Linked DNA regions of Ovis aries. The protein of the gene in region 3 purifies or fractionates together with the protein of the main gene of each other region. This does not show direct contact. Links are inferred from orthologs where the notes say so. Each region holds a gene or a part of one and is shown on either strand. Other genes may lie near its edges.

Region 1 (9,670 bases), on a different chromosome or scaffold from region 3:
GTAAGGAAACTTCAGCCCAAAGACTGTTTCTCTTAGGATTTTCAGTTCATCTGTCAAAAGCAAAGCTTCCTTAAGTCAATTCCTAAATTATTTCTTCCTACATAAAAGTAAAACTCTTAAAGTTTTCACCATCTCCTAAAAGTATGACTCCTTGCACTTCTAAAAAGCTGGGGAGGAGCAAACTTGATCAGCCTTGATGTAGGTTCTATGAAGCAACAACTTATATGTAAATGTTTTTCTTGAGTTACAGCTTAAGCACAAACATACCTAAAAAAATAAAACCACTATGTTCTTTAGGAGTCTGTACCCCATCAGTGAATTCACTCTAAAACTAAGAGCACTTTTCCTGATAAAGACACTTTCTTTTGGAAAGAATTAATGCTTAGAAGTAACAAATCATTACACACATGGTAATAAGCATCAGAATGTAAGCTGCTGTTTAGATAGGATATACCCAATTACCAGCATTTACTACTAACAAGATGATGTCCATGGGTTGGTAGTGAGGAGGAAAAAAAAAAGAAAAGAAAAAAATCCCTTTATAGGAACATGACCCTATGACTAAACCTGAGAATATAACCTCTCACCAATATAAGCTGAAGGGGAAACTCTTTTTGCTACATGACTGACTCTAGCTGCACACTGCTGGTCCCGAGACTTCCTCCTACATGGGAAGATTATGTGTTGGGAGACAGGGAGAAGTTGCATTTCTGTGTCAGACTCTCAGATTCTGTGCTAGCTCATGTTCAACGTGGCAAGAGAATGACAAGAATATGATCTTTGGTTTGAATCTTGCTAAAGCTTATTCTGCAAATATATAATGAAGCCTTGAATAAGGATTTCTTATAAACTATTTTTTATGCAAAAAAGGAATCAGATGACAATGTATAATCAGATAATGTGCATTTAATATAAAACTTAAAAATAAGATTTAAATCAACATCCAACCCAGCATCTTTTAAGTCAGTTACCCGCTCTGAATAGCGTGTTGATTACAAATAAAACCATTTAAAGACTTACTTTGAGATTTTTGCAGCTCTTCATGAGGTACTTCACATCATAAATGACAGGAAAAAACAATCGAAGGATCTCAAAGAAGTCAAGTTCTTCTTCAGGCAAGTTAGAGTTGGTCAGGATTTTGATTAAGTAGCCAAAGTCATAACCACTATGAAAGGGTTAAAGAATACAGAAGAGGGACCATAAAAACCATAGAAGTGAAAAAAACATTTTTTTTCAATACAACTTTTAAGCGAGTCACACCATAAACGGGAGAGGAAAAAGAAAGGAACCAGAAAAAATGCACAAAAGAACAGAGAAAATAAACACATTTACAGTTATAATGAGGAAATGCCATCATTCACAGACAGTGATAAGAACCTGTCATATCATCTATCAGGAATGTTAGTATACAAATCTCTACAACTATCCTAGGACTGTAGTCACTGAACTACTATTTAGCAGATCCTTCAACAGAGAACTCTCTAAAATCAAACTGTCCACAGCAGATGTCTCAAAAAATAGAGATGAAAGGAGACTTGGCAAAAATGTCAAAGACAGCAGAAAAACTGGCACTCAGAAGACAAAATAATGTCTGTCTTCCCATCATTTATATAATACAATCATACATTTCAAAAACCCAAACAGTAATTCCCTACCAAATTATTTTCACTTAAGTAATTTTATAAAGAAATACTCTCTTCCCTCAAAATTTTGTTCCTATCTCAATCCCTCAGAGATACTAGTGGGAATGTTGTACATGAAAGAAGTGAAGCAAGTAAAGGCTGAGAACTAGTATCTAGAGAACAAAAAGCCAACTCCCACATACTCAAATCAAGATCCTGTCCCTACTGTCTGGCTTTTCCACAGCTTTATACCTCCCTGCACTCCATCCCACAATCACATCCCTTCTCTTTCCTGTCAATCTTTCCTTAAGATCTCGCACAGGATGCCTTCCCCCAAGAGCCCCACTCCCACAGATTTTTCAGACAAGCTGCTTTCTGTACCACCATTTAAAGCACATGTACTGTTTTCTCCACTTCTTTAAAGGGCAGGTGTCACATCTTGACATTTTTTTCCCCTTAAGACACATAGTTGGGACTTAAATATTTGATGAGAAAGGCTATTTAACATACCTTTTAAAGTGACAGTACATATAAAATTTCTATTCAGTGTTTAGAGTTTTACTTCTTACTTTAAAAAGAGGGGAAAAAAAGCTTTAACATTGAAAACCATAAGGAATATCAAGATATAAACAATAAAATCAGAGATTATAGCCTATTTTATAACTTAATTCCTAGAATCTTATCAAACTGCTTGACATACGGTAGATAACAACTGTTTTTTTGATGGATAAATGTTTTCATTCTAAGGCTTAAAAATGTTAACTCTATTTATTAAATAAATAAACCTATGTAATAACACAGATTCCAAATGGCGTTGCTGGACTTAAACCAACGTCTGTTTTTTCAGCCTCCACTCTTTCCACTATGCAATACTGTCTCCCTTAGTCTGAAATGGATCCCACATCGTTAAATGAACCTTTAAGGAGACCACATTAGCCTGTTGAGCTATATGGCAGCCAATTCTCTGCTGAACTAAGCCTGAAATGCTGACACCATGACCCAAGTCAAGTGTGAAGCAGCTAGAAAATGGTAACACAAATACCATTTGCAATGCAGTCTTTTACCTATGAAATGATAACCATTTGACCCCTTCACAGAGGACTACTCCTGATGTCATAAGAAGTTCTGCAAAGTACTGGGTCTCAATTCCTTCCTCCTCATGTTTTTTAAACTGGATACCAGATGTTGTGAGCAGCTCTATAGAGTCTTGGGCATACATGTCCTCCCTGGCAGGAGAAAAAGAAAGACAACATTCAAAAGTGCCATATTTCAAACTATGTTTCTCCCACTGACATCTACAACTACAGTGCCAGAAATATCAAGAGAGAATGGGCCTGAGTCCATTTGTTCCAACATTTCATATATACGGAAGGTAAATGTGACTGAAATACAAAGGTCAACTTAATTTTAGAAGAAAAATTATACAGCAAATTATCATTTGAAACAGTCCAATGGTGAGATTTTAATCTTTACTATCCATCTCATTAGCCTTTCACAAATTAAGTAAATTTAACTGGGTTCAAACAAAGAAAAACGGTCTTCTACTCACCGTAGCTACCACCACAGAGTAACAGACATGTTCTTATCCGGGCTTTCAGTCTCAGCAGCCATTTTAATGCTGCCCAACAGAGCTGCAGCCACAGTGGTGAAGCCTGTGTCTATCTCCCAGGTTCTCAGCAGAGAGAAGGGAGAGAGATTGAAGGGAAAACTCCTGCTGTGCCAGCGTTAAACCACAGTCTGTCTTAAAGAAGGAGGAGTTGCATCCTCTCACTACCATGAGCCTCTCAAACAGTTCCAATCAGCAGTAAGCTGTTTAAAATCAAAGACTCTGCTGGAGCAGCATTAATTTCTCCTTCTAACAGCCTTACTCCTAGAAGATTACTTCTCAAAAATCAAGCCAGGAAATCTAAATATAAACCAATCTTTCAAGATTTTACTTAAGCCAAAAAGAAAACCATCTTTAATATCCAAGCACAAGCACACAGGTATCCAAAATACTATATTAAATCAAAAAAGTGATCAAAATAAAGGTATGTTTCTGAGAATGGAAAGTATTTCATGCAGTGCCCACTGGATGTTTCTATTTACTTTGAAAATTGTGAGAATACTGATTTCTACCACTTAGCAAAAGAAAGTTCTATAAAAGCTTTAATAAAACTAAGCCAAAAGGAATATTGCCTTTGAAAAGTAATAAAACTAGCAAATGAAATATTTAAAAACAGGAATTGCAACAATTAATCTTAAGTCAAAATTCCCTGGAAAATTATGCCAGAAAACTCTTTCAAAAGGATATCTGAATAAACCCAATACAAGTTTTTTCAATTACACAACAGATATTACTTCCTTGTTATACTAAAACATGTACTTTAAACAAGTAGAATCTCACTCATCATGCCCAGATGCTCACTAAGAGACATGCTCTAGCAACTATAACCAACCAAAGGCATAAGAGACTCCTTCTCCAGGCTCACATTATTCTGGGCCATATGCTCACTTTACTTTTACGCGCTCTCTCTTAATCACAATTTAAGCTTGAAGAGGGCAATGATTTTTGTCTGTTTTGTTCAATGTTATATTACCAGGGAGTACTGCACTATTTAAATCAGTATTTCCCAAACTTGCCCAATGATAATAATCACTCAGATTAACTTGTCAATAATATGGATTCACAAGTGCCACAGCTGGACATACTGTATTGCCATCTCCAGGAGAGAGACCTGGGTGAGTACTCTGGTGTTTCATGATCAAATATCATATTCTACTTTACTTTTCATGTATGTATCAAGTCCAAATTCACTTTAGAGCAAATTCCCAAACACTGATCAGTACCTAACAGTTCTAATTCTTGGAGTTCAGCAACAGAAAGCAGACAGAAGAGTTATAATGACCATGACCAACTTTCCTCAACATTATGTCCCTGGGACCTAGCACTGCTGCTGACACATCCATTCTAGGAACTCGATAAAAGTCAATTTTTACCTTTCTTCAAAATATCCAAGATTCATGGTGCTCTTTCTCCACATTAGGTAGAACCGGTTTTATTTTCCAACTGACCCTTTCTACTAAATGATATTTTTCACTATATCCTTAAAGATCTCTCAAGATATTAACATTAGGATGAATGGCAATAAAACTACAGCATGAGTTTTGCTGTATGAGAAAAAATGTACGAGAAAAAAAAACGTCTTTCAGAAAATACACTAACAAAGCAGTTGTTATAAGACCAAAGATGTTTCTAGAAAGGAAAAATGTCTATTTTACCAAAACTGAGACCCTGATAGGTCACCTACTACTCACATACTGAGATCATAGCACTACCTTAGTACAGAACAAGGATCTGATGATCAGCTTGGGAAAAAAGCAATATAGAGCAAATGAAATGGTAGAGAACCGATTTTAAAAAGGGTTACCTTTCAGGAAAAAGATAAAAGGGAATTTTCAGAATTAAAGAACTTATAAAACGTTTAATCAGTCTAAATAGAGATAAGTACCTTTCACCCTTGACAAAGTTCTGGAGAGTATATTATTAAATCCAACAGAGTGAAAACAGAGTCAGGCTAAACATAATGCAATTAGAAGCCATACTATTACACCACTGATAACACTCCTCTAAGCTCATCACCCCTGCTTGTTTTTAGATCTTACATATGCTAAGTATCACACTACAGAGAACAGAGGTCCTTAAATGGCACTACCATCAACTGGGGCTTCTCTAGTGGCTCAGATGATAAAGAATTCACTTGCAATACAGGAAACCTGGGTTTGATCCCTGGATCAGGAAGAAATCCCTGGAGAAGTGAATGGCTACCCACTCCAGTATTCTTGCCTACTTTCACAGATAGAGGAGCCTGGTGGGCTATAGTCCGTGGGGTCACAATGAGCTGAACAAGACTTAAGGGACTGACCACCACCACCACTACCACCATTAATTGTCCTACAGCTTCATTTACTATTTTGCAAATTGGATGTAAGATCATATGAAACAAGCAGAGACTGTCAAACAGAAGGATACTGCAGAATAGTATCATACTCAGAATGTATTCAGCATATCCCCATCTTACAGTCAGTTTGTAAACAATCTGCCCTCACCCAAAAACACTGGAAACTTCCCTAAGCTATCAAGACTACTCTTACCAATTATACAGAAGTACTGTAAGTAAAGAAACTGGGTTGTGACCCAGGACTTGAGTTAGAATTCAGATTCCAAATTGTTTCCTAAAAGAAACACCAGGCTCGAGGATACTAAATACTTCTCCCATATGTAACCTGTAAGAGGTTCTGTGGGCTGGGCTGACGCAATAACTGATTTGAAAGGAAAATGCACCCAAGTTTCTAGGAATGATCTTATTATCACCTCTGATGAGCCTTCTATTCACACAATGGACTATAACCATGATAAGAATCTCTTCATGAGAAGGATAACTTTTACAACAAAGACATATATATTTCAAATTGCACACAAAGTTTGAAAGAAAAATTAATGTTGTAAAGTTATCCTTTTTCTATCAAGAAATATTTTCAAAACCCAGTTTTCCAAATTTCAAAATAGTGGCAGTTATGCTTTTAAAATAACAGCTCTAAAACTCAAAAGTTTCAGCATTTAAGTCTTCTTTATCCTGTTTTTTTTTTTTGTCCCATAATAAAAAGAAGAAACAAAGTTTTGAAATTTTAGGTTTTAAATATTTCCAGGGTAGCGATACCAAATTTCATTTGTTGTACCTGATGGAAATTGATTTCTAAAATTAAACTAAAAAAAACAAGTTTGGGTTAAATTTATTTCCTACTTACGTCAAATTAAATTTAAAGTTAAACTGCCAAGTTGAAGTTCCTGGTGGGTATTCTCCTTGCTCATTCATAAATGTCAGTCCTAGCTGAATTATCTTCAACAAGTCTACATTACACCGCAACAGTTGGTACTGATAGTCAGCATTGCTCCTGAATTCTCCAATGGGTCTTGCAACCACGCCTGGAAACTCGGTGTCCTGTAAAATAGTTTTAAGGGTCATTACTTACTAAATGGTTGAAACCACAATCCCAAAATTCCTAGAATAATTAATTTTGAGTACACATTGAAGAATCCTGTTAGGGGTGATATTCTACACAATTCATGTTCAATTACAATGTACCTTTTAACTAGGAAGAGTATTACTTTTTAAAACCATAAAACCACAAACTTAATGACTTCGTCTTACTTTAAATATCATATCAGGAAAAAATTACCATGTATAATGTACACATAATAAATGTAACTAAGTACTCTATTCCTGAGGAAGGAGGAAGAAAATTACAAATTCATGTTTTTCAACAAGTATGTGAAACTATGCTCGTAGTATTGTAATATTAAAACCAATGAAGACGGTTAAAAAGACTAGAAAATGTACCATACTTTTTAATTGCTTTTCTGAAGTAAGTATTTAGATAAATACCAAAACCCTCCTACTTTTTTGGCCTAAAACAGTACTCTCTACACTCCAGAGAAAACATACCCTTAAAGACAGCATGCCACCACTCATTCTTGTAGAAAGCTATCACATATCTAAAGTTGTCACTGCTTTCATTTGAGAAATAAATGATCACTATTAATTTCTACCATAAAAAATAACTTCATTCTAATTATGGATAAGAAAATACATCTATTAAATAGGACATTATCTGTGTACATTCAAATATTCATATTTTAACCAACCAACCTGCCCCTCCCCAAAGCAGCATATTTATTTATATTAAATATGCTAAGAAAATAAACATATCATTTTAGTAGTAAAATTCAAATTAAGAAACTAAGAACAAAACCAAAATTTCAATTCTTATAAAGGAGAGAAATGGAAACTTTTCTAAATTCAGAAACTCAACAACCACTTTATTGGATGCTATGTATTATGCTAAGTGTTGGGGGGAGAAAGGATGATTAAGATACTAAGCTCTTTCTTCTCAAAACTAGTAATCTAGAATACTGTAGAGAAGTCAAAACAGACAGTGCTCAAGAAGCAAAAAAATTAATTGAGTAGACAGGCTAGGCAGAGTGAACAGTATATACAAAACTAGAAATGTTTAACAACACAGTATGTTCACGGAATTCCACTGGTAATTAAAAAACAAACAAAAAACTACAGATCAACAATGCTTCAACGGAAGATCTGAATTTTTTTGTTTGAGAAAGACATCTAGGAGCTCCATCTGGTATTAGTATCAGGTCTTAGTGTTGCTAGGAGCAGACCTGGCATTCACAGCTAGGTCCTAATGGGTCTTCTGCTGAATATAAACAATTGCACACCATAACATCAGACAAGGCCAGTCTGTAATCATAACTGAACATATGCAAAAACACATTGTCCAAACCATAAAAATGATCAAACCTTCTTCTATCTTAAATAACAAGTGACTGTTGCTTCTTTACAGCTTTAGCCTCACTCTAGTCTTCTCTCATTCTAGTTGAGACTCATTAAGATATCCTATCGTGGAATTACCCCAGCTTCCCAACAGTTCAGAGCAGAGCCCCACTTCTTCACTCCCTTCCTAAAACCACTGCCACACACCCCAATTCCTAGGTCTTTCTAACGCTCGCTCGCTTACGCAAATAACCCCATGGTTCTAAGAATGAATTTTCCCTCAATGCAATGAGTAAGAAACCCAACTTGTCACATTACTAGTGTGTTCTTGGTGGTCTTTAGTTGGGAGGTCATTGACAAAATTATTTTCATTAAATACCTAGAAAAAAAATCAACCAGAAGGGTTGAATTCAAGATGTTTTAAAATCCTCTTTCATAAAAGGCATTTTAAAGATTTTGCTCACAGGCATACCATAGCAACGTAATTATATTTTCGGATAACTTGACGAATTTTCTTCATTTCTTCATCCAGGTTGCAAGCCCAAACTTCACAAATTCTTTGGCTATGATCTACAGTTGCTGCTGGCATAGTGAGGGCACAAGGAGTCTAGCTGCCAAGCATCAAAATGTTATACTTGATTGAAGATTTGTTTCGTAAATGCTTTATCCTTTATTTGTGTACCTGTCAAAATAAGAATCAGTTATACCAGGAATCTGAATCACAGAATGATTGAGTTGATAGAAACCTAAGAGATATTTATTTGAGGTCCTTGATTTATGAGAAAATCAAAGTTTAGGATGTGACTTGTCTAAAGTCACACCACTAATCAGTAGGAGGAAAAGGACAACACAGGTTTCCTGGTTCTAATGTTAGGTAAAAAGTGTTTTCTGCATACACACTAATCATTTTTAAAAACTTCCCATTAATAAAAAATTGCTCTGAATTCAACTCACTCTCTGAATAAAACTTTATAAAGACATCCCTTTTCAGGTAAACATGAAAAGTGACATACTGAAAGACGTAACAAGATCAGATGTTACTAGGGCAAAGGCAGTATTAGTACTTGCTTTTATTCCTAACTGAACATTCAAAGTCTGATTTAACTACAAAATTTACCAGAATTTATTTAGGTCAGATGGGAGGGGCCAAAAGTAAATAATTTTTTTCTTTTAAGAAGTTCTTTCTGAGCAATAAAGAATAGCCACAGAAACTGTTTCAATGTCTGTAACTGCTGATGGGAGAAAGAAGGGAAGCGATAGAGTCTCTGCATTTCAAACTCTAATTTCCTAAAAATCCGAGCATTTTCCCTGGTTACCAAACACACGTCACGTTTCTTACAAACACAGGTTTCATGGTAACAGTACAGACCAACATTTTGGTTCTTAAGCGGGGAAATTCCGGATCCTCTTTCGCTTTTCACACAAGTTTGAAAAAACCGTGTAACAGACAAGTGTAAAAACGAGTTGTGACCTCTTCTTATAACTCTACAGTCACAAATGTAACCTCGCGTGCTCTAAGAACAGAAACCAAAGATCGAAGGGCTACTCCCTTTATAACCCTCTTCACTCGGCTACACACACACAGACACACACACACAATTTGGAAAGGCCCTGTCGTTGAACATTGCTTTCCTCCACCTCGCTCTCTACTACACTTCCAGAAGACCTGAAGAGGCACCAGAGGCCTTCTCGTTACTGGAGGTAGCCAACTCCGAACAG
Region 2 (9,670 bases), on a different chromosome or scaffold from region 3:
ATGTCAATGGATTTTAACCATCTTGAGGTCGTGATCTTTTTAAAAGCTCAATGAATATGGAAGTCAATTCCTTCAAATGCAAAATAGCTGGCGCTCTGGCTGGAGGCATGTTGGGTACAGGGTATTTCATCCCAACCTACCTCCTCTCCCACCCCCACCCCGCCCCCACCCCCCAAAAGGTACAAAAGGTTGCAGTTCTGCAGCATTACCATTACAGGGAAGGCACTGGTTACCCACCAGCAGGCGGAAGGAAGACAGGGTCGTGTCACTTCAGAGCTAAGTGCCATAGTGCCTTAAGTCTTACTAGGGGCTGGATGTCTGTCAGGTGTAAGGTGGGGTAGAAAAAGTGGAGAAAGAGGAATAAGGGAAAGGGGAGTGGCAGCTGGGGGAGGGGCAACCAAAATCATTAGCATTAAAAATCTTCCTACAGGCTGGATTCTCAACCCATTAAAACATCTAGTATCCTAAAATATTGATCTGCATCTGATTTCGTTTTTCTTCTTAAACAAATCTAGACCTTTTCTGATTAAGGCTCCTAAAAAATCCTTCCCTCCTCCCACCCACTTTCTCAAGCCCCTCACTCTTCCATCTAAAGTATCAAACCCAAACCTACCAGCTTTTGTCCGCAGGGCTGCAGAGCTGACCTTACCAAGCTGTCAGGCATGAGTCTTTAGCACTGTGAGTCACATGGGACACTGTGTGTATGGTGGGCACCGCTGCTGCCTCTCTTGGTCCAGTGGGTTCAGGGCCAGATGGGACAAGATGGGGTGAGGGGTTGAGGGCATGAGGTGAATATCAGAGATTTCTGGCTGGTGGTCTGGCTTACTGGCCCTGTTCCCCACCCTTTTGCCCCCTCTGCGGAAGGAAACAGGGCCTTCTGCATTCCTCCCTACCCCACCTCCCTCCTCCCTGCTTCCTCTGGATTTGGGCGGCACAGCTCTTGGGGCTTGGAAAGCTTTCTTCTATCCAGTGAGGTAACAGCGTTCTGCCTTCAAGCGAAGTACATGGTGCGCAGAGTATCCTGGTGAACCTGCACGGCTTTGGCCAGGGCCTGGGGGTCCCGCCCATTGCTCTGCCCCGATATGTGGCTCCCCTCTCCACTGAAAAGGAAAAATGAAAGAAGTCCTTCCTGGTGAACTGAGCTGCCACTAACCCTTCCCCCACCCCTAGGGTACCAGTTCCCATACCAATTAAGAGAAAACCCCAACCCAGATTTGGGCTGACAAGCCCCAGGACACCAAATTGGACAATCCTCGTTTCCTTCTACCCACGGAAAGTTGAGAGGGTCTGGTACCAGAGGCTGAAGCAAAAAGGAAGCCAGCCTGATTCCAGGCCTCACCTGTCATGCTCTTTGTCCACTAGGTGGTATCGTGCCCGGAAAGCCACCAAGCGGGCATAGTAGGCAGGTGCTGGAATTGAGACGGAGCGTGTGCATCGTACATAAGTGTGGCACAGCTGGTACGTCAAGATCTGGAGCTCATCCGCTGTGAAACGGTTGTCATCCCAAAGGACATAGTAATGGGATGGTCGGCTGGTGCCCTGGGAAGATAGGAAGGTGAGGGGCCCCAGGTTGAGCAGACGGGATGGCTGACAGTAAGGAATAGGATCACCATTATGAGTATGGCTGGGTTGGAAGGCCCACCCATGAAAAGGCAGACACAAAGCCACCTCTGTCATAAAGCACCCACTGTATGAGCAACCTGACTAAGATGTTGAAAGTACACTTACGTTCAAGTGCACAAAGGGCTTATTAAGAGAACAATCCTGATTTGAATGCCCCTCAGTAATGAATGATATATTCTAAAGGCAATGGGAATGATCAATTATCTTTGACCCACTGGATACCCCAGGACATAGCCCAGCTACCTGGATGCCTGCGTGGCTGCACAGATAGAAGTCAAACTCAAATGGGTGGGTGATGTTGGTGTCCACAGTGGTCCCAGCTGGGATGTTACCACTCTTCCCAATCTGTATAGAAACAAAGACAACCAAGATCCCAAGACCTGCCTGGCCCTAACTAGGGCCTCAACTCAATTCTAACCTGACTCCATCAGAATCCCAAAAGTAAGGCAGAAGTTGCTGTTCCCAGAGAGAGTACTGGGCGCTGAAATAACAGGCTTCTAAAGTTACACAGACCTGTGTTTAAGTGCTGCTTTCACCATTTATTAGCTGTGTGATCTTAGCAAGTTATTTAACCTTTCTGAGGTTAAACTGGAGATAATAACAGTACCTACCTCACAGGGCTGCTGTGAGGAAGACGCCTTGCACAGTGTCTGGCACATAGAAGTTCAATAAATGGAAGTTCCCTTTCCCATCTCTGGGAGCTGGTCTATATATGGGGTCTATAGGCCAGGGAGCTAGGAGGAGGGAGATCAAGTTTAAGGGAAGAAGGGAAGGAGGGGAGAGGGGGAAACAAAGGAAAGGAAGCAGCAGAGGAAGGACCCCAAGAGTCAGGGGGAAGAAAGGTGCCAGGGGCGATGGACAGGCCAAGGAGTAACCCCCAGATTTCATTTCCACAGCTCCTTTCATACTCAGAGAAGGGAGACATGACCAGGGAACAGTGACTTCCTCAATCCCTCACTCACTCGCTCATTCTTGTCAGCACAAAAAAGGCGGGTGTGATGGCGTTTCTGCACCACAATATAAGTGATTCCGGGCTGGTAGTCCTTTTCCAGTTTGATGCAGGCATCGCGAATGGCCAGCAGCTCATAGTGGAGGATCTAGGCACAGGGTGAGGAGGGAGACAAAGAGACATACAGCTCCTCTTGAGTTCATTCATCTTTCTGAACTAAGGGTTTGCCACTTGTTATACAGCTTTTTGTTCAGCCTCCCTTTATAAGCTGACACCCAACCATCAGAGAGGATAAGCCCTTCCTACCAAAAATCAGCCTTACAGAAGCATACCTCAGAAATATTGCATGTTCAATTCCAGACCACTACAATAAAGTCAGTCACACAAATTTTCTGTTTCCCAATGCATACAAAAGTTATGTTTATACTACACTGTAGTGTATTAAGTGTGCAGGAGCATTATGTCTTAAAAAAAAATGAAAACAATGTACATACCTTAATTTTAAAAATACTTTATGGCTAAAAAATACTAACCATGACCTGAGCCTTCAGTGAGTCACAGCAGTAACATCAAAGATCACTGACCACAGATCACCATAACAAATATAATAATGAAAAGTCTGAAACATTGCAAGAATTACCAAAGTGTAACACAGAGACATGAAGTAAGCAAATGCTCTTGGAAAAATGGTGCCGACAGACCTGCTGGCCGCAGGGTTGCCACAAACCTTCAATTTGTGAAAAATACAGTATCCGTGAAGCACAATAAAGCGAAGCGCAGTAAGACGAGGTGTGCCTGTAGACAGTTCACCTGCTCTGTTCCTATAAAACCTAGCTGCGGGGCTTAGTATCCGCAGAGAGCACTCACCTGGTTCCTACGCATAGTGAGACCTAACATCAAGACACAGAATCAAGGTTCACAGAAAAATCACCATGTCCAGAGTAAGGACAATTTTAGGATCAGGAGGAAAATGGGCGTTTCCCCATGGGAGCAGACAGGGTTGGGACCACCACCAAAGAGTAGACACAGAGTTCAGGAATGGCTGTAGAGGGAGTAGATAAATTCAGTTCTATAAAAAAAGCAGTATCATAAGAAAACAGACTAGCTAAAGAAGCCACAGGTGAAAAAGCACAGGCAGTAGCTGCCTTGTTGCCTTGGATGTCAGATATAGGGAGTAAAAACTATCTGGTAGAAGTAAATAGAATTTAGAATCAATCAGAACTAAGTTTTTAAACCCCAAGCTTTATCTAATTTTATTACTTTGAGCAAGTTACTTAACCCCTTTAATAAAGTCTCATTTTCTAGTTACTAATAAGATCATCCTCACAAAACTGTCTGTGAAGACTAAAACAAATAATTAAGTGGAAGCATAAAAAACCTAACAGGGGCTTAATGACTGCTGACTGCTTTGCATAAGCACTTTGAATTTTAACCCTAGGCTACATGAAGCCACAGGACATCTCTGAACAGATACATGTTATAAATTTACCTGGTACTTTAGGAAACATTGTATGACTCAGAGGAAATTGAGCATAATAGTTAAGAGCATGAACTCTGGAATCTGAACAACTTGTCTGAATCCTAGCTTCACTGCTTATTAGCTTGGATGACACTGAAGAAATCATTTAACATTTTCAAGCCTCAGTTTCATCATCTCTCAGGTGGAATAATAATTACTTCATAGGATTCTTATAAGCACTGAATAGAGCACATACAAAGCGGTTAGCACAGTTCATGGCACGTAAGATACCCAGTAAATGGTAGTTATACTACTTATTATTAAATGGTCGAAAAGGAGATCAGTTGAAGATACTAGTCTAAACAATAAGCTATGAAGGCTTAGCAGGGAGACAGAATGTTAAGAACACTGTAAAGGTCAATAGCAGTGTGGCCACCAGATCAGCACGATCACTAAGAACCTATCAGAGCTACAAATTTTAATACCCCATCCTAGATTCAATGAAGCAGAAATTTTAAGAGTGGAGCTCTGCAAACTGCTTTAGTAAGCCCTTCAAAAGATTCTGATGGATGCTAAAGCTGGACAGTGAAGTGAAAGTCGCTCAGCTGTGTCCAACTCTGTGCAACACCATGGACTATACAGTCCATGGAATTCTCCGGCCCAGAATACTGGAGTGGGTAGCCATTCCCTTCTTCAGGGGATCTTCCCAACCCAGGGATCAAACCCAGGTCTCCCGCATTGCAGGTGGATTCTTTACTAGCTGAGCCATCAGGAAAGCCCAAAGCTGGAGAACCACTGGTCTAAAGAATCAGTCTTCACCATGAATTAACTAGTAAATAGGCACTGAGAGTCTTTTATTACAAGAAGGAAGGTCTATCAATGACTCTACACACCATCTCTCAGTTGGAATCTCTGCTCCCAAGCCAATTCCATTTAGCAAACCTCCGTAAGTAGAAGCACCTCCCAGTGTCAACAGCTTAAGAAAGGGAGCAGTACTCTCTCTGCTACCATTAGGCCCTACGGCCTCAATGTGAAGGTTTTCTTGACTTATTGTGGGCCCTACCTGGGGAAGCTGGCCTTCAGGAACCCCATCTCGGTAGAAGATGATGCGGGTAGGCTTGAAGCGTGTGGACTTGTAGAACTGGATGAGCAGCTCACGTACCATGTAGGATAAGTCTTCAATGATCTCCTGCCGTGGTCTCTGCACTCGCACAGTAGCACAGTAACGGCTGGGGTGGGCATCCATGCTGCCTACCACCTGATAATCAAAGAGGCAGGATCAGCTCCTAAAACCTCCACCCTCCCAACACTGGTGGTTCTGGGTTTGGGGAAAGATCTCTTAGAGGGAATAAAAAAAAAACCAACCTAAGAAATCAAACATGTAGGTTTTTTGGATTCAATAGCCCTGGTTTCAATCTCTGTTCTCTCACACACACGGAAGTGATTTAACCCACCTGATCTTCTTGTTCCTCTTCTCAAATGGCAAAAAGAGTAACACCTGCCTGCAGTACTGCTGTGGCACATGTAAGTCACCACGCACAGGACCTCACTCACAGTAGGTACTTGCTAACTTTGATTTTCCCACCCCTTACAGAGGGGCATGTGATGGTTCAGCACTGTGAGCTCAAAGAGTGACTTCATCCGAAAAACAAGCTAATCTTTTCTTCAAGTGCTAATCTACCCCAGGAACTACAGTGAACAGTGCTCTTGTGGATGGTAGGAACAACATTATTCTCTACGGGGACAGAGGCCAGAGACTAGGATGGATGGCCACAAGGAAAATAAAGATAAGCATAGTATAGGGTTTCCCCACATTTACTGAGATAGGCCCAGTCTGCCTAGAGAAACATGAAGGTTCAAGAAAAAGAAATGAGAAAGAAGGCCTGGTCCCATCAGTCAACTGAGAAGCCCTGTGAGACAGAGCAGAGCTGTCAGGAGAGGGATTAGAGAGCCATCTAATCTACTAGATGAGTCAGGGTACAGATAGGAAAGAGTAAAAGACAATCCCAGTAACTAAGGAATTCACTTAAAAGCGACTTCGGAGAGGAGATATGGTCCTTCCCACATCCCAAAAGTGGGCACAGGGAGACAGAGGGAAATTCAAACACAGAACAAAAGTGATGGAGACATAACCAAGTCTCTGGCCCCACTCTACTCTCTCACTGCTCTCTCTGAAAAGAAGATGTCATACAGTTAGCTTTATTAGAAAACCAAGGGCCTGGTTAATGGGGATGATCAGCTGCAATAAAAAGATCTTGTGACGGGTCAAGCACCAGAGTTGAGGGAAGGAAATCAGGTGTAGTCTTGGGGGCTCAGAAGAGAACCTTACGAGCAAGTTGGAAAGTATCACTCACTGCTGTGATGGAAGGTTTTTTCCCATCCCCTGCTGGTGGGTGTGTAACATCTGCTCCCAGGAATATCACTGGTTGTTGAAAGACTGCAGAGCTAAACAAGGAAGAGAAAACAAAGGGTGAGGAGTTGGGTCTTCTTTTCCTGGCACCATCTAGCTCCCACTTTGGTCCCCTCTCCCTTGTGACTCACTCTGCCTGGACAGTGTCCTATCTTTTCATCAATCTCCAGTATATTACCTTGCTTGACAAGGGCAAGTAAGCAATAGCATTCATACCGCTGGTGTGGGACTAGGATGTTGTTAATGCCACCAAGTTTGACATTGATCTTCAGGCAAAGGTTAGACAGAGTCTGAGGCGAGGTCTTGACCACGTTCTTCACTTGCACACACTGTGTAGCCATTCCCAACAGAGTATCTCCAACACGTTTCACTTCAGCTATGATCAGGGAGAGAATTGATTAGTGCATTCAGCAAATTTTTACTGAATGTCTACTTGATTCCAGGAAGTATAGGAGGTGCTAGGGAACACAATGGTGATCAGAAACACATAGGGTCCCTACTCTTATAGTGCTTACTATCTAGTGACTAATTTTAAAAATCATAAAAAGCGTAACAATGATAAATGCTACAACAGGAAACTTCACAGAGCTATGACACAGAGAGCATATGATATAGTGTAATAACCTAGCCAGGAAAGGATTCTTCACTGAACTGAAATTTAAAGGTAGAAAAGAACTTACAAGGGAGAGAGAATGTGGAAGAGAGCATTCCAGGCCAAGGGAAGAGCAGGCAAAACGCACTGATAGGGGACAGAGCCACGAACTGAAGAAGCTCAAAGGGCAAACCAGATATAAAGGAGAGCAAGGGAACTGCCGTGTGAGAGAAAGAAAGTGGTGATCAGAACAACCTAGGAAAGACATGAGGGTAGTTCAAGAAGGCAGTTGTCAGGATGGAGAGAAGCAGATTCAAGAGGCTATGTAAGGGAAAATAATTTTATGGATAACTTATGAGTTTCTAGACTTTTGTAATAGAATAGACAGATCTTAAGTTCTTTTTGAAACGTTTTGAGTTTGAAGAGCTTTTTGGTCATCCCATTGAGGATATCAATCAGGCAACTGAGTACAGCAATTGGAAGTTCAAGAATAGTCTGAAATGGAGATGTAAAATATGACATATTTAGGTACAGGTAGTAATTGAAGACATGCTCTTGAGATCAACAAGGAAGTGAATGGAGTGAGAGGAGAGCGCTTAAACTCAATTCTTGAGGAGCTCACAATACTTGTAGAACAGGAAGAAGATGAATCTGCAAAGGACAAAAATCCAGATATCTAGGAGGAAGATCAAGACAGGGTTGCAGCATGAATGCCAGGGAAGAAAGAGCATTTCAGGAAGGAGTAAGTGTTCAACCAAGTCAAATGCTGCTAAGAGGTAAAACGAGGACCAGAATTTTGTGACAGCAAGGCAAAAATTAATGAACAGAGGCAATAACTGTTTTTGGTAATATCAAATACCATGGAGGAAACATGGGGTCAATAAACAGTACGATATATTTTCAATGGGAGAAATTTGAGACTGTTTAAAAAGCTAAGGGATCATTTCTATCTCCAAGAGATATGGTTAGAAGGAAACCAGTGTCTGTTGAGAACATTCAAGAAAACCAAATACAATTCATAACTCATCTTTCTGAAGGCAGTAGAGAGGTGCTAAGACAAAAGAACTGCAAGAGCTAACACTCCAGAGAGGAAGAGAATCTCACAGAGGTGAGCCATCTGCTGCAGCTGCTCTGCCCTGGGTACATTTGCTGATTCTAGATGTGGGCAAGAGGCTGAGATTCTAGGCTTTGCACCAAAAGAGGAACCACTGCCAAGAGACAGAGAAAGCAACAGCCATTTCTGGCAAACACAAGCTAGTTCTAAATGTGAAAGGTTAAAAAAAACATTTAAAAGAAAACACAGACTAGTATCTTCGTGACCTTAGGATTTCTTAAACAGGACTCAGAAAGTACTAGCCATAAAGGAAAAATACTGATAGACAGGACTACATTAAAATTCTAAAGTTCTGTTCAACAAAAGAACCCATTAAGAAAGTAAAAAGGCAAGCTACAGATATGTGTAGTACACATCATATTTAATAAAGGAATTATAAAGAACATCTAAGCCAATAAAAAAAGAGAAAGACATGAGCAGGCACCTGTCAAGAGGCCAATGAAACAGCCAATAAAAATATAAAAAGATACTCAACCTTATCAATCACCAGAGAAATCAAATTAAAAAGCACAATGCAGTATTAACAAACACCCGTATAAGTGGCTAAGATGAAAATGACAATACCAAGTCTGATAAGGATGTAGATGACTAGAACTCTCATTTTGCTGCTGATGGAAGTATACGTCTGTACACTTAAAAGCCCTCCTAGTTACACACCCAATAGAAATGGGCACATATATTCAAAGGACATGTACAAGAATGTTCACTGAAGCATTATTTATAACAGTAAAAGCCTAAAACAACCCAATTATGTCCATTAACAGTAGAATGGATAAATACATGTAAATTGTGTTAAAATCATATAACGGAAAAACTGTAACAAACTACAATTAAACAAACACGGACAAATCTAACAAACATAATGTTGAGTGAAAGAAGACAGACATGTAAAAAGGTACATGATATATGACTCCATCCATATGAAGTTCAAAGACAGTCAAAACCAATCTATGGTGTTAGAAGCCAAAAGAACAGTGGTTATCACTGTTAGGAAGTTGTAGTAATCAGTAGCCTGGGATTGTGGTAATGTTTTACTATCAGAACTAGGTACCCCTGCTGTGACACTGAGAATTCACTGAATTGACCACAAAAGATCTTTGTATGTATATCATACTTCAATTTAAAAATTACATTAAATAATTATATCAATTTAGTGGAGAGGAAGGAGTTAAAAATACTAAGGACAGGATGAGGCATGTTAGCAGATTAGAACTGGAAATGTGACACTGTCCTTTTATACTTTGGGGGCAATTATAACGCATGGGGACCTTGTTTTGACTATCACTTGGCCTCTCAGGAAGGATGGTGAAGGATCTTTCAAAGAATCTGACTGCTCCTCCTATGTGCATGCTTAATTCCTAGTCAAATGCCCCCATTACCTAAGTGGTATAATCAAAGAAGAACATGTAAGTGAAAGAAACCCAAGGTCATGATCAAGGTATGAAGCTGGAGAGAGGTATAACATGACTGAGCCCAGGGTAGGGAAAACTCTCTGAGTAACACCTGACTTCTTCAAGCATGCC
Region 3 (11,386 bases):
CTCACCAGTCTTTGCTCTACCCCATGTATCTTCTTTGTGAATAGGTGCTGTGTAATACACTGCTATATTCTTCTTTTATTTTTTTTTCCTTTTGGCCATGCCTCCTGGCTTATGGGATCTCAGTTCCCCATCCAGGGATTGAACTCGGACCCTTGGTAATGAGAATGCAGAGTCCTAACCACTGGACTGCCTGGAATTCCCTCCCAGCCCACCCACTTTTAAAAAAATTGGAATATAGTTGGTTTGCAATGTTGTGTTCGTTTCTGCTGTACAGCAGAGTGAGTCAGCCACGAGTATACATATGCCCTCTTCCTTGGATTTCCTTCCCGTTTAGGTCACCACAGAGCACTGAGTAGAGTTCCCTGCACTAAACAGTCAGTTCTCATTGGGTGTCTATTTTATACATAGTAATATACATATGCCAATCCCAGACACCCCCCCCCCCATTGTGTCCATACGTTTGTTCCCTCCATCTGTGTCTCTATTTCTGTTTTGCAAGTAAGCGTCTATACCATTTTTCTAGGTTCTGCATGTCCTTTTATTTTTTAATACTCTTTTCGGGGTATAGTACCAGAGCTGCCCTCAGTCTTCCTATCGTAATTTTGTTTGAGAGTGGGGTGCTGATTTTAGATTTCACATGTTTTTTTCTCAGTTAAATGCAGCCTTCCAAATCTTGGTTTAAATTTTGTGTTTTGCGTTACACTGTGGAACTGAACTGTCCACTTTCCTCCCACCAGCGCAGGGCTTTACAGTCTCCCTGTTCCTCAGTTTCCTGGGAAAGCGTGACTGCCATCTTCTACTTACTAATGTTGCTGTATGTTTATCTTCCAGATCATTTGTAATGGTGGATTCTGGCTTCCTTGTGTGTTAAGGGAAGTGCATTATTTGACTTCTTTCAATTCTGAGGTAGTCTCCAACTGTGAAATGTTTTAGTTATGATCGCTGAGGAGTCCTGCACTTCTCACCCCACTCCCCCTGCCCCGCCCCGCCCTCCCCTGCCCCACACACACAGATTTTTCTGTCTAAGCTGAAGTGTTTTTCATAACAAAAAGTGGTCTTTGTGACCTATCGTTGGTAAATGCAGTTTTTTGAGGTAGCCTCTTAATTTATGTTTTTGGGAAAGTATCAAGTATGTTCCAGATTAAAAATAGAGTTTTAGCTAATAATTACTGATGGCATCTCTTATTTTCCTAAAATACATGGGCATACACAGCAAAAGGCAGGTATGGACCATAATCTCCTCCAAAACTAGGTCATGGCCAGCCAGATTGTGAGAAAGTTTCACTACCATTAAAGATTGGTTTGCAAAGTGTATTCTGCTGTTTTCTGGGGCATTTTGCTTTTGATGTATTCAGACATTAAAAAAAAAAGAAAAAAAACCTTACCTTTCTTGTAAATAGCCAAGTTTTTTTTTTTTTTTAATGGTTTCTTTGCTTTTATGTATACGAAATTCTCATCACAAATTCATGGTTTCATCTTTAACACTTGAATCATTTGGATTTACTTTTGATAGATCATCTCATTTAGGAAATCTTTAAAAGTATTGAATATTCCTTTTCTTTGGGTGATTTAAAATACTAACATTTGGCATATAACCTTAGATAATATACGTGGGTCCATTTCTGGATTAATTTTTCTGTTCTTACATACTCTGATAGGACGGTGCTGTTTAACTAGTGCATGATAAAAGTGGATTATGGATTTTATTTATATGTCTTATGTGAATTTTTATATCTCTTTAATCAAATTACTGACTCTTGTTAGTAAATTTTTATAATTAAACTCAGAAGGAATGTTGTTATATCTTCCTGTTGAGGAGCAAGTTTATATTTAATCAGGTTATCTGCTATGACCTACAATAAAATTTAATCGAATATTTTTGTTAACTTTATTTCAAAGGTTCCTTAATACTTTTTGTGGTTCCTATAATTTGGATCCTTTTCCATCCCATTTTCTTGTTGGTTATTTTTGGTGCATAGGAAAACTGGCTTTTTACATGTTAACCCTTTTTGTTCCTTTTCTACTATCTTGACCTCGTTTGGGGGGTCATATTTCATCAGTTTGTGCTTCTAGCACAAAGTTGAGTAGTTGTGCTGATAACAGATTCCTGTCTTTTCCCTGTTGTTAGGGGAATGCTGATTATGTTTCACTGTTAAATCCCAGGTCCACTCCTTTGTTTTCAATTTGGGTAGTTTTGTCTGTCTTTCTCAGTCTTGTTTTCTTATTCCTGCTGGGAAGTGGCAAGACACACGCACGCAAATAATAGATCAGAAGTACTTTTGCTACAGACCATGGCTTGACTGTTTTAGATTTGGAGAAAAGTGGAAGGTTTGGGACTTGCTGATGTTCTGGATTTGCTATTCACAGGAAAGAATCAAGGGTGAATCTTAGGTTTTAGAAAACTTACCAAGATGAAGAAAACTGGAAAAGAAGCAGGCTTGCTTTTTCCTTGGAGAGGAGGTGCCTGTGGAGGTATAATCTAGGAGTTAACAACCTTTTTGAGATATCTAAGTAGAGATTTAAAGTAAGCACGTTGGTGTATGGTTTCTAACTTTGCTCTTTATGAGAGAGGTATGGTAGAATGAATAACTTTGCAGATAGGACTGAAAATGATAATCATTGATACACATTAATTAGTGAAAAACTAATGGCCCTCATTTGTATCTGAATCAGATACAGTTCAAAGCAATTTTAGTTAGCAATCATTTAATCCTTGCAACTCTGTGAGGTAACTACTATTACTATTCCCACTTTATAGATGAAGAGTCCAAGGCACAGGAAGATTTGAGGGTCTTACCTGTAGTCACACAGATGGTAGATAACAGAGTGACTTTTAAACCCAAGCAGGCTGGCTTCGAGAGTTTTACTCTGCATCACTGCACCAAACTGCCCTTCATAGAGCACTTATTTGAAGCCAGCAGTGAGCTGCATACTTTACGTATGAAACTAGGTTAACTAACAACCAGGTAAAGAAGTCCGTATGTGCTGTGTATATTCCCATCTTACTAGTTTGGTCATACAGCTGCTACACAGACCTCAGTCTGGGTATCTCTAGAGTCCCAGCTATGTTCTGAGCCACCTTGCTTTTTTACTTTAGGATGAATTCTGATTTTCTCACCTTATTTTCTACAGCCCTTGAGCCTCCATTTCTTCATCTGTAAAGGGAAGGTAATGCCTACTCTAGGGCTGTTTCAAGGATTCAGTGACAGTATTCCACATAGAGCTTGTGCTCCAGCATGCTGAATGATATTGCCAGCAGTGCAGGCACTGTTTGTTAGTGAGACTGATGTTTTTGTGTCCTTTATTTCCTGAGAAAAATCCTCCTCGTGGGCACTGAAAGATGAAAGGCTTTCCTTGGAAGCTTCGAACTGCCAAGTAATTTTTAGTTAGAGAGTGGAAGTCAGAAGCACTTAGAGAACTTCTAAGAAAATATATATATTTAATGAGTTATGTATACGTTTTTGGTCTCTGTTTAATCCCCCCCCCCCTTGTTTTTTGCTACTTGTTCTAGCTCTTCACCTTTTGCTGCTTAGCAATTATGCTTTGAGAAATAATGATGCATGTTGAATCTGATTTTCCATATCAGCAATACCCTCGTGGGCTTTTCTGGTTCCTCAGACAGTAAAGAATCCCCCTGCAATGCAAAAGGCCTGGATTCGTCCCGTGGGTTGGAAAGATCCCCTGGAGAAGGGAACGACTACCCACTCCAGTATTTTGGCCTGGAGAAGTCCATGACAAAGGAATCTGGCAAGGTTACAGTCCATGGGGTTGCAAAGAGTCGGAGACAACTGAGTGACTTTCATTTCACTATACCCTCACAATGAGTGATATTTTACTTTCTGGGCTTATAGCACCTAGTGTTTGGTTCATTATATCTAGGACATGACTTAAGCATATGTATTACTTACAAACACTAAATATGATGCTGATGACTACTGTAGTAAAGAACTACAATATGAACAACCCCCTGAGGACAGTCTAAATGCCCACATCTTATCTCTGAAGATTCCTAACTTAACCAGATTTTTAAACTGAATGAGAGTGATGCATTTGGGACAATTTTATAAGCAATAAAATAACTAGATGATAATACATACCAATAAGTCTGAAGTTTATAGGATTATATGACTAGTCATTAATGTCTTCAATGTCAGCAGTTGAATTTTTAATCATAACTTTGATCTTTAGCATATCAACTGTTTTTTGTTGTCTTCTAATAAACATGACTCTTAACACATTTTTATGAAGGCAGTATTTCTACTTGTGTGCTGTATTTTTCAGATTGAATTTGAACACTAATGAAATGCAAATATAATGGAAAAGGCTTTATAATTCTTACAAACTTGTTATAATACCCAAAACAGTTGTGTGAAATAGCTATTCTAAAAACATGTGGATAAAAAAGGATTCCTAATATATTTCTAGTACATTTCACCAAGTTTGGCCTGTCCACTTGTCATTTCCCATTTGCATCCCAGCCCCTTTCTTTCTGAGGTTGGGCCTCCAAGCCTAGGTTGCTCCATCGTCCTAATAAATCATTTCTACCTTGTTCTTCCTGACTCCAAATTCTTTATTTGCTGATATGTTCATTCATTCATTCACATATATATTGAGGAGCTATTATGTTCCAGGTACTACTCTGTGCTCTTGGAATAACATAATGAACCAAGCAACAAATTTCCTGCCTATGTGGAATTAATTATTGAATACGGAAAGTTCGTGGCTGGGATATAACCAGTGCCCTTGTAATTATATTGCCAAGCGTTATATTTTGTTGAGGAGCCATACACATTTATAATATATTCATCATTTTTCCAAACACTTGATTTTTTTTGTGTTTCTTCTTTATTCTAGATATAAACCACAATACTCCAGGATCCCATTATGAAAATTCAGAGCGGGGACCTGTGTCGTCTACAAGTGACTCTAGTACAAACTGTAAGAATGCTGTTGTGAACGACTCCCCTGAGAAAGAAGCATGGCCCTCAGCCCCTGGCAGTGATCCGGAGTTGGTTTCAGAATGTATGGATGCTGATTCTGCCTCCAGTTCTGAATCAGAGCGACCCATCACTATCATGGCTTCAGGGAGCACAGGTGGTGAAAATGATGGCCTTCGGAATAGCGCTGGACTTGGATCCCAGAACAAGTTTGTGGTTGGTAGCAGCAGCAATAATGTGGGCCACGGAAATAGCACTGGGCCGTGGGGCTTTTCCCATGGAGCCATAATAAGCACATGTCAGGCCTCTGTGGATGCTCCTGAAAGCAAATCGGAAAGTAGCAACAATAGGATGAATGCTTGGGGCACTGTAAGTTCTTCATCAAATGGAGGGTTAAATCCAAGCACTTTGAATTCAGCTAGCAACCATGGTGCCTGGCCAGTATTAGAGAACAACGGACTTGCCCTAAAAGGGCCTGTAGGGAGTGGTAGTTCTGGCATCAATATTCAGTGCAGTCCCTTAGGCCAGATGCCTAACAATCAGAGTATTAACTCTAAAGTGGGTGGTGCTTCCACCCATGGTACCTGGGGAAGCCTTCAGGAAACTTGTGAATCTGAAGTAAGTGGTACACAGAAGGTTTCATTCAGTGGTCAACCTCAAAATATTGCCGCTGAAATGACTGGACCAAATAACACTACTAACTTTATGACCTCTAGTTTACCAAACTCCGGTTCAGTACAGAATAATGAACTGCCTAGTAATACAGGGGCCTGGCGTGTGAGCACAATGAATCATCCTCAGATACAGGCTCCCTCGGTTGTAAACGGCACTTCCCTTTCTCACCTTAGCAATGGAGAGTCAAAAAGTGGAGGCTCTTACGGTACTACATGGGGTGCCTATGGTTCTAATTACTCTGGAGACAAATGTTCAAGCCCTAATGGCCAAGCTAATGGTGACACTGTGAATGCAACTCTAATGCAGCCTGGCATAAACGGGCCTGTGGGCACTAACTTTCAAGTTAACACAAATAAAGGAGGCGGCGTGTGGGAGTCCGGAGCAGTGAATTCCCAGAGTGCATCCTGGGGAAATGGTGCAAATTCTGGAGGAAGTCGAAGAGGATGGGGAGCTCCTGCACAGAACACTGGCACTAATATACCCAGCGTGGAATGGAACAAACTGCCTAGCAATCAGCATTCCAGTGACAGTGCGGATGGCAACGGTAAGAAGTTTACAAACGGATGGAAGTCTACTGAGGAAGAGGATCAGGGTTCTGCCGCATCTCAGACGAATGAGCAAAACAGCGTGTGGGCCAAAACGGGAGGTACAGTGGAGAGTGAAGGTAGTACAGAAAGCACTGGACGCCTCGAGGAGAAGGTGACTGGGGAAAATCAGAGCAGAGAGAGAAGAAAAGTGGACCAGCACACGTTACTCCAAAGCATTGTGAACAGAACTGACTTAGACCCCCGTGTCCTGTCCAACTCTGGCTGGGGACAGACTCCTATTAAGCAGAATACTGCCTGGGATACTGAAACATCACCTAGAGGGGAGAGAAAGACTGACAATGGGACAGAGGCCTGGGGAAGCTCTGCAACACAGACTTTTAACTCAGGGGCATGTGTAGATAAGACTAGCCCTAGTAGTAATGATACCTCATCTGTATCGGGGTGGGGAGATCCCAAACCTGCTCTGAGGTGGGGAGATTCCAAAGGCTCAAGCTGCCAGGGGGGATGGGAAGATGACTCTGCTGCTACAGGAATGGTCAAGAGCAATCAGTGGGGGAACTGCAAAGAAGAGAAGTCCGCATGGAATGATTCGCAAAAGAACAAACAGGGATGGGGTGATGGACAAAAGTCAAACCAAGGGTGGTCCGTCTCTGCCAGTGATAACTGGGGAGAAACTTCAAGGAGTAACCATTGGGGAGAGGCTAACAAGAAGTCTAGCTCAGGAGGTAGTGACAGTGATAGGTCTGTTTCTGGTTGGAATGAACTCGGTAAAACCAGTTCTTTTACATGGGGAAATAACATTAATCCAAATAATTCATCAGGCTGGGACGAATCTTCTAAACCGAATCCTTCCCAGGGATGGGGAGACCCTCCAAAGTCTAATCAGTCTCTAGGTTGGGGAGATTCATCAAAGCCGGTCAGTTCTCCAGACTGGAACAAGCAACAAGACATTGTCGGATCTTGGGGCATCCCGCCGGCGACAGGCAAACCTCCTGGTACAGGCTGGCTGGGAGGACCTATGCCAGCCCCAGCGAAAGAGGAAGAACCCACGGGCTGGGAGGAGCCATCCCCAGAATCCATACGTCGCAAAATGGAGATTGACGATGGGACTTCAGCTTGGGGAGATCCCAGCAAATACAACTACAAAAATGTGAACATGTGGAACAAAAACGTCCCAAATGGCAGCAGCCGCTCAGACCAGCAAGCACAGGTACACCAGTTGCTACCGTCTGCAGGTACCATCTCAAACAAAGAGGCAAGCGGTGGCTCCGGTAAGTTCTCGTTTTCTGCAGTCTTGATTATTTCTCATAGTGCTTCATAGTCGCAGGAGCCTTGTTTCAATTTACTGATTTTGGATGTGCACACAAACCAATTTTTTTTTTAAACTCTAATCCAGGAGAAGTTTGTAGGGAAGAAGATTATGGGGAAGGTGTTACTGTCAGGAAACGGCTCTGCCTTTGGTAGTATTGGCTGTGAATCCCACGTACTCCATTCTCTATCCAGAAAGTTATAGACGGCAGGATTGGAAAAGGGACGTCAAGTGGGAATACTGTGCACTTTCCTCATCTCACTTTTTCTGACTTGAGCCGTTAACATTTTGGTTTTATTGTTTGACTATCCCCAGAAATAAAACAAGTACCTAAAAGTACAGTCCTCTAAAAATCTAGATACTGTAATTGGCCATAGAAGGGATTTATTTAAGTAGGCATGTTGAATACAGCGTGTATGCGTGTGACAGTGACATTTTCACTAGTTGTCATTGAGATGTGCTGTCTTTTTAATGGAGGTTTCGTTGAATAATAATCCTGTTGGATGTAGAGACAGAAGTGTTTTCATGAACTAACATTTCAGTGCCTAATTCTTTTTTCTGAGTATTATTAATTTAGATTTAATTCTAAGAAGAAATGTGTGTGTATCTAAGGGGAAGGCTGTTGTGGTTCTTTTAAAACAATGTATTTATGGCTTAGCTTAGCCTTAGTTGATTACGGTTGGCTTTGGACAGCCTAATAAATTTTAAGAAGCGTTGTCCAGCATATACAAGTAGGATGCCTACCTATCATTAGTCTTATATTAAACTACATTTTCCAGAACAGTGATGTTGAAAGGTTGTAGTTATAATAAAAGTTTTATGCACATTCTGTTAGCCAGCTTGATCACCTGCTTGACTAGGTTTGACTCAGAATGACTTGGCTTTTATAGGAATTAAATTCATCCTCAAAGGAGGATGACTTACCATAATTAAGGTTATTCAAAAGAATCTGCTGTGCACCTTGAGGGCAATTCTGAAAGAAGAGGTGAAAAAAAATTATAGTTGGATTATAATAATGGAAAATTATTTGTCGTCTTTACCTAAAACAGAGGCCATCCTTTTTGCCCATCACAGCATCATTATTTAATACACAAATGTGAAGGTCTTCTTTTGTTCCCTAAGTATTCCTTATTACCCCTTCAACCTGCTGATGACTTCTTTTCCCACACTTTCTAAAGGCTGGGGTGAGCCCTGGGGGGAGACTTCAACTCCAGCCACAACTGTGGATAATGGTACTTCAGCCTGGGGTAAACCCGTAGACAGTGGGCCTAGCTGGGGCGAACCCATTGCTGCGGCATCCAGCACATCCACGTGGGGCTCCAGCTCTGTTGGTCCACAAACATTAAGCAAATCTGGTAAGTTACTGATAATTCCTGGTTTCCGTTGGATAGCAGTGGTGATCTCATTGACTGTAATTAAGTAATTGGATAACGTTTATGACGTTGATAATGTATCCACATATTATTGTAATTGTCAAGCAACTTTCATGCTATCCAACACAAGAGACTGAGTATAATAGTCTTGGGGACACATATCCAAGTGGTCTGGCTCAGGTACCAGACAGGTCCCTAAATACTGTACAGATAATGAGCAGAGTTCAGGAAGGACCCTCAATATTCAGACAGACATTGTTACTATTCTTGTAGGGATTCCAAAGACCAAGTATAGTGATGAGATACTTTTTGCTTCTGACCTGCATGCTGCACTTTTGGGCCATTCTCTTTAAAAATATGTATTAAGATGAATTTTTAAAAATTCCATTCATCCTCGTGGCCCTAAGCAAATAAACGAACATGAATGCCACCAATGTCCCATGTTTAGGAACCCTCTGATTTGTAAAAGCATGAGAAGTGTTCTATTGAAAATGTTACTAAAAATAAATTCTTGTTTAGCTTTTAGCTCAGTATTTAACATACATTTTTGCCATGCAAACCTGGGAAGGGAAATGAAAGAGGGTCTCTAGGTTGTCCCCCGCTCTGCCCCGTTAATGAGTGCTCATCCTCCGGAAAGAATTGTTTGACTGTAGCATGTTTCTTTTTGTCACAAATCCACAATCAGGGCCAAAATCTATGCAAGACGGCTGGTGTGGTGATGATATGCCCTTGCCTGGAAATCGCCCCACTGGCTGGGAAGAGGAAGAAGATGTAGAGATTGGAATGTGGAATAGTAATTCATCTCAAGAGCTTAATTCATCTTTAAATTGGCCACCATATACAAAGAAAATGTCTTCGAAGGTAAACATTTCAAGGGCAAAGCCCTTGAAACTTTAAATTCCAAAGGTAGTTGCCCCACAGAAGATTACGTGCTTGCCTGCCCACTTATGGCAGTCAGTATAGTCCAGGCAGTCCCCAGCTTAGGTAGAGCTTCCTGTGTGGGCGGCCACCTAGAGAGACCTAGGACCACGGGAAGGTCCTTTCTCCCCACGGCTACAGCTTGGCATCTCTCGCCTCCTCCCCCTCCACCAGTGCTACCTGGGACAACCTCACCCCAGGATGGTGCCTGCAGTGGGGAGGATGAAGAGAAGGGCAGACCTCCATGCTGACGCCTCCTGTCCCACTGCCAGTCCATCTCCCATTCCACCGCCTCACCTGGAGCCCCGAGCCTCCGCGTTACCCAGAGTTTCCGTGCTCGTTATTCATCCCCCATCTTCGTCCCTTCTCTACTCAGTAAGGTCCTGGGACTGAAATCTCTAGGAATGAGTAGAGCACTTGGTTTTGCTTTTATATGTAGACAAACCTTATTCCAGACCTGGCTCTGCATCAGAATTGTAAGGCCTTTGTTAAAAGTGTAATTTCCTATACCCTAGGCCTACTGTTGATTTGGAAATTGAGCCAAGTTTCTTGTTCTCAACAAGCTCGCCAAGTGTTTCTGATACAGAGCCAAGTTTGAGAAGACTAGTGTCAGATTTTCTTGGGGCTCATTTTCAAAATATGTGCTTAGTCCCCCCAGGTGATTCTGATACATCCTTTCCAACCTGTTTGAGAATGAATTCTTTTTGAGGGACCTCAGAAGTCAGATACCAGTAGCCCATGGCCAGGGTCCCTCCCTTTTGAGCCTGGGGCTCTAAGTCTAGGACCTGTCATTTTCATTTTGAAGACTTTTCATTGGGCTGCAATTGCCTGTTGCCTCACCGTATAGCGTATGAATCATTTTCCCGTATTTTACATAAATCATTTGATCCTCATAACCTTCTGAGATAGAATACTGATAAGGAGTTTGAAACTGGAAAAGGTGGTGGCTTGCCCCAAGTTGCATAACTAGTGACAGAGCAAGGATTTAAGTGTAGGTCTTCCAGTTCCAAACCCTGTGTTCTTCCCACTGGACCATGCTGTTTTATGACTTTGTCTTTCCTTACAGGGTCTGAGTGGCAAAAAAAGGAGAAGGGAAAGGGTGTGTAGCCTTTTTACTCTTTCTCCTTTGTTTCTACTAGTAAAAATCTTTTAGAAAGCAACTGCAAATATTTATTTAGCCTCTGCTGTGTGCCAGGTACTGTGCTTAGTGCTGGGGGTTCAAAAACACTAGGATAAGTGCATACTTCCGGGAGCTCAGGGTTTCGTATGGGGGTGTGAGGAGTGCTCTAAGGAGTGTTAGCTTGAGTTTCGAAGATGCCTGGGAGTGGGATGTGTTAGGAAAAGTGGTAGCCTGAAATACAGACTGTTGGGGGGAAGAGGTGACAGTCTACTCCACAGTTAGATTAGGGGCAGATACTAAAGTGTTTTCAGTAGCATGCCAGATAATTTGAACTTTATTTAGCATAATGTATGGAGCCAATCAAACTGAATAAAAGGCAGCATCAGTTTGGTTTTTAAAATTGGAAGAAAGACCAAAGTTAATGATCTCATTTAGGAAACTTCTGCATTCATTCAGGTTAGAAAGGACGGCCTGAATTGGGAAGCAGAAATAAATATTTAGTAGAA

The links. Proteins that work in one complex are often made in the same cells at the same time.
Region 1: the proteins of TNRC6A (region 3) and CNOT7 purify together in Homo sapiens (affinity purification with western blotting; 3 studies listed by BioGRID and IntAct, with this or other methods). This does not show direct contact. The link is inferred for Ovis aries from reciprocal best matches to the Homo sapiens genes TNRC6A and CNOT7.
Region 2: the proteins of TNRC6A (region 3) and protein argonaute-1 purify together in Homo sapiens (affinity purification with mass spectrometry; 10 studies listed by BioGRID and IntAct, with this or other methods). This does not show direct contact. The link is inferred for Ovis aries from reciprocal best matches to the Homo sapiens genes TNRC6A and AGO1.

The regions. Positions count from the first base shown.
Region 1 is NC_056079.1:19,174,142-19,183,811, reverse strand, and holds part of CNOT7 (CCR4-NOT transcription complex subunit 7), read right to left. Parts: intron 8,634-9,670; 5' UTR 8,541-8,633; coding exon 8,424-8,540; intron 6,605-8,423; coding exon 6,411-6,604; intron 2,849-6,410; coding exon 2,687-2,848; intron 1,166-2,686; coding exon 1,021-1,165; intron 1-1,020. UniProt on the Homo sapiens protein: Has 3'-5' poly(A) exoribonuclease activity for synthetic poly(A) RNA substrate. Its function seems to be partially redundant with that of CNOT8.
Region 2 is NC_056054.1:10,845,289-10,854,958, reverse strand, and holds part of protein argonaute-1, read right to left. Parts: intron 6,818-9,670; coding exon 6,658-6,817; intron 6,477-6,657; coding exon 6,386-6,476; intron 5,290-6,385; coding exon 5,095-5,289; intron 2,721-5,094; coding exon 2,586-2,720; intron 1,969-2,585; coding exon 1,867-1,968; intron 1,540-1,866; coding exon 1,340-1,539; intron 1,101-1,339; coding exon 992-1,100; 3' UTR 1-991.
Region 3 is NC_056077.1:22,980,535-22,991,920, forward strand, and holds part of TNRC6A (trinucleotide repeat-containing gene 6A protein), read left to right. Parts: intron 1-4,854; coding exon 4,855-7,431; intron 7,432-8,647; coding exon 8,648-8,824; intron 8,825-9,527; coding exon 9,528-9,703; intron 9,704-10,826; coding exon 10,827-10,859; intron 10,860-11,386.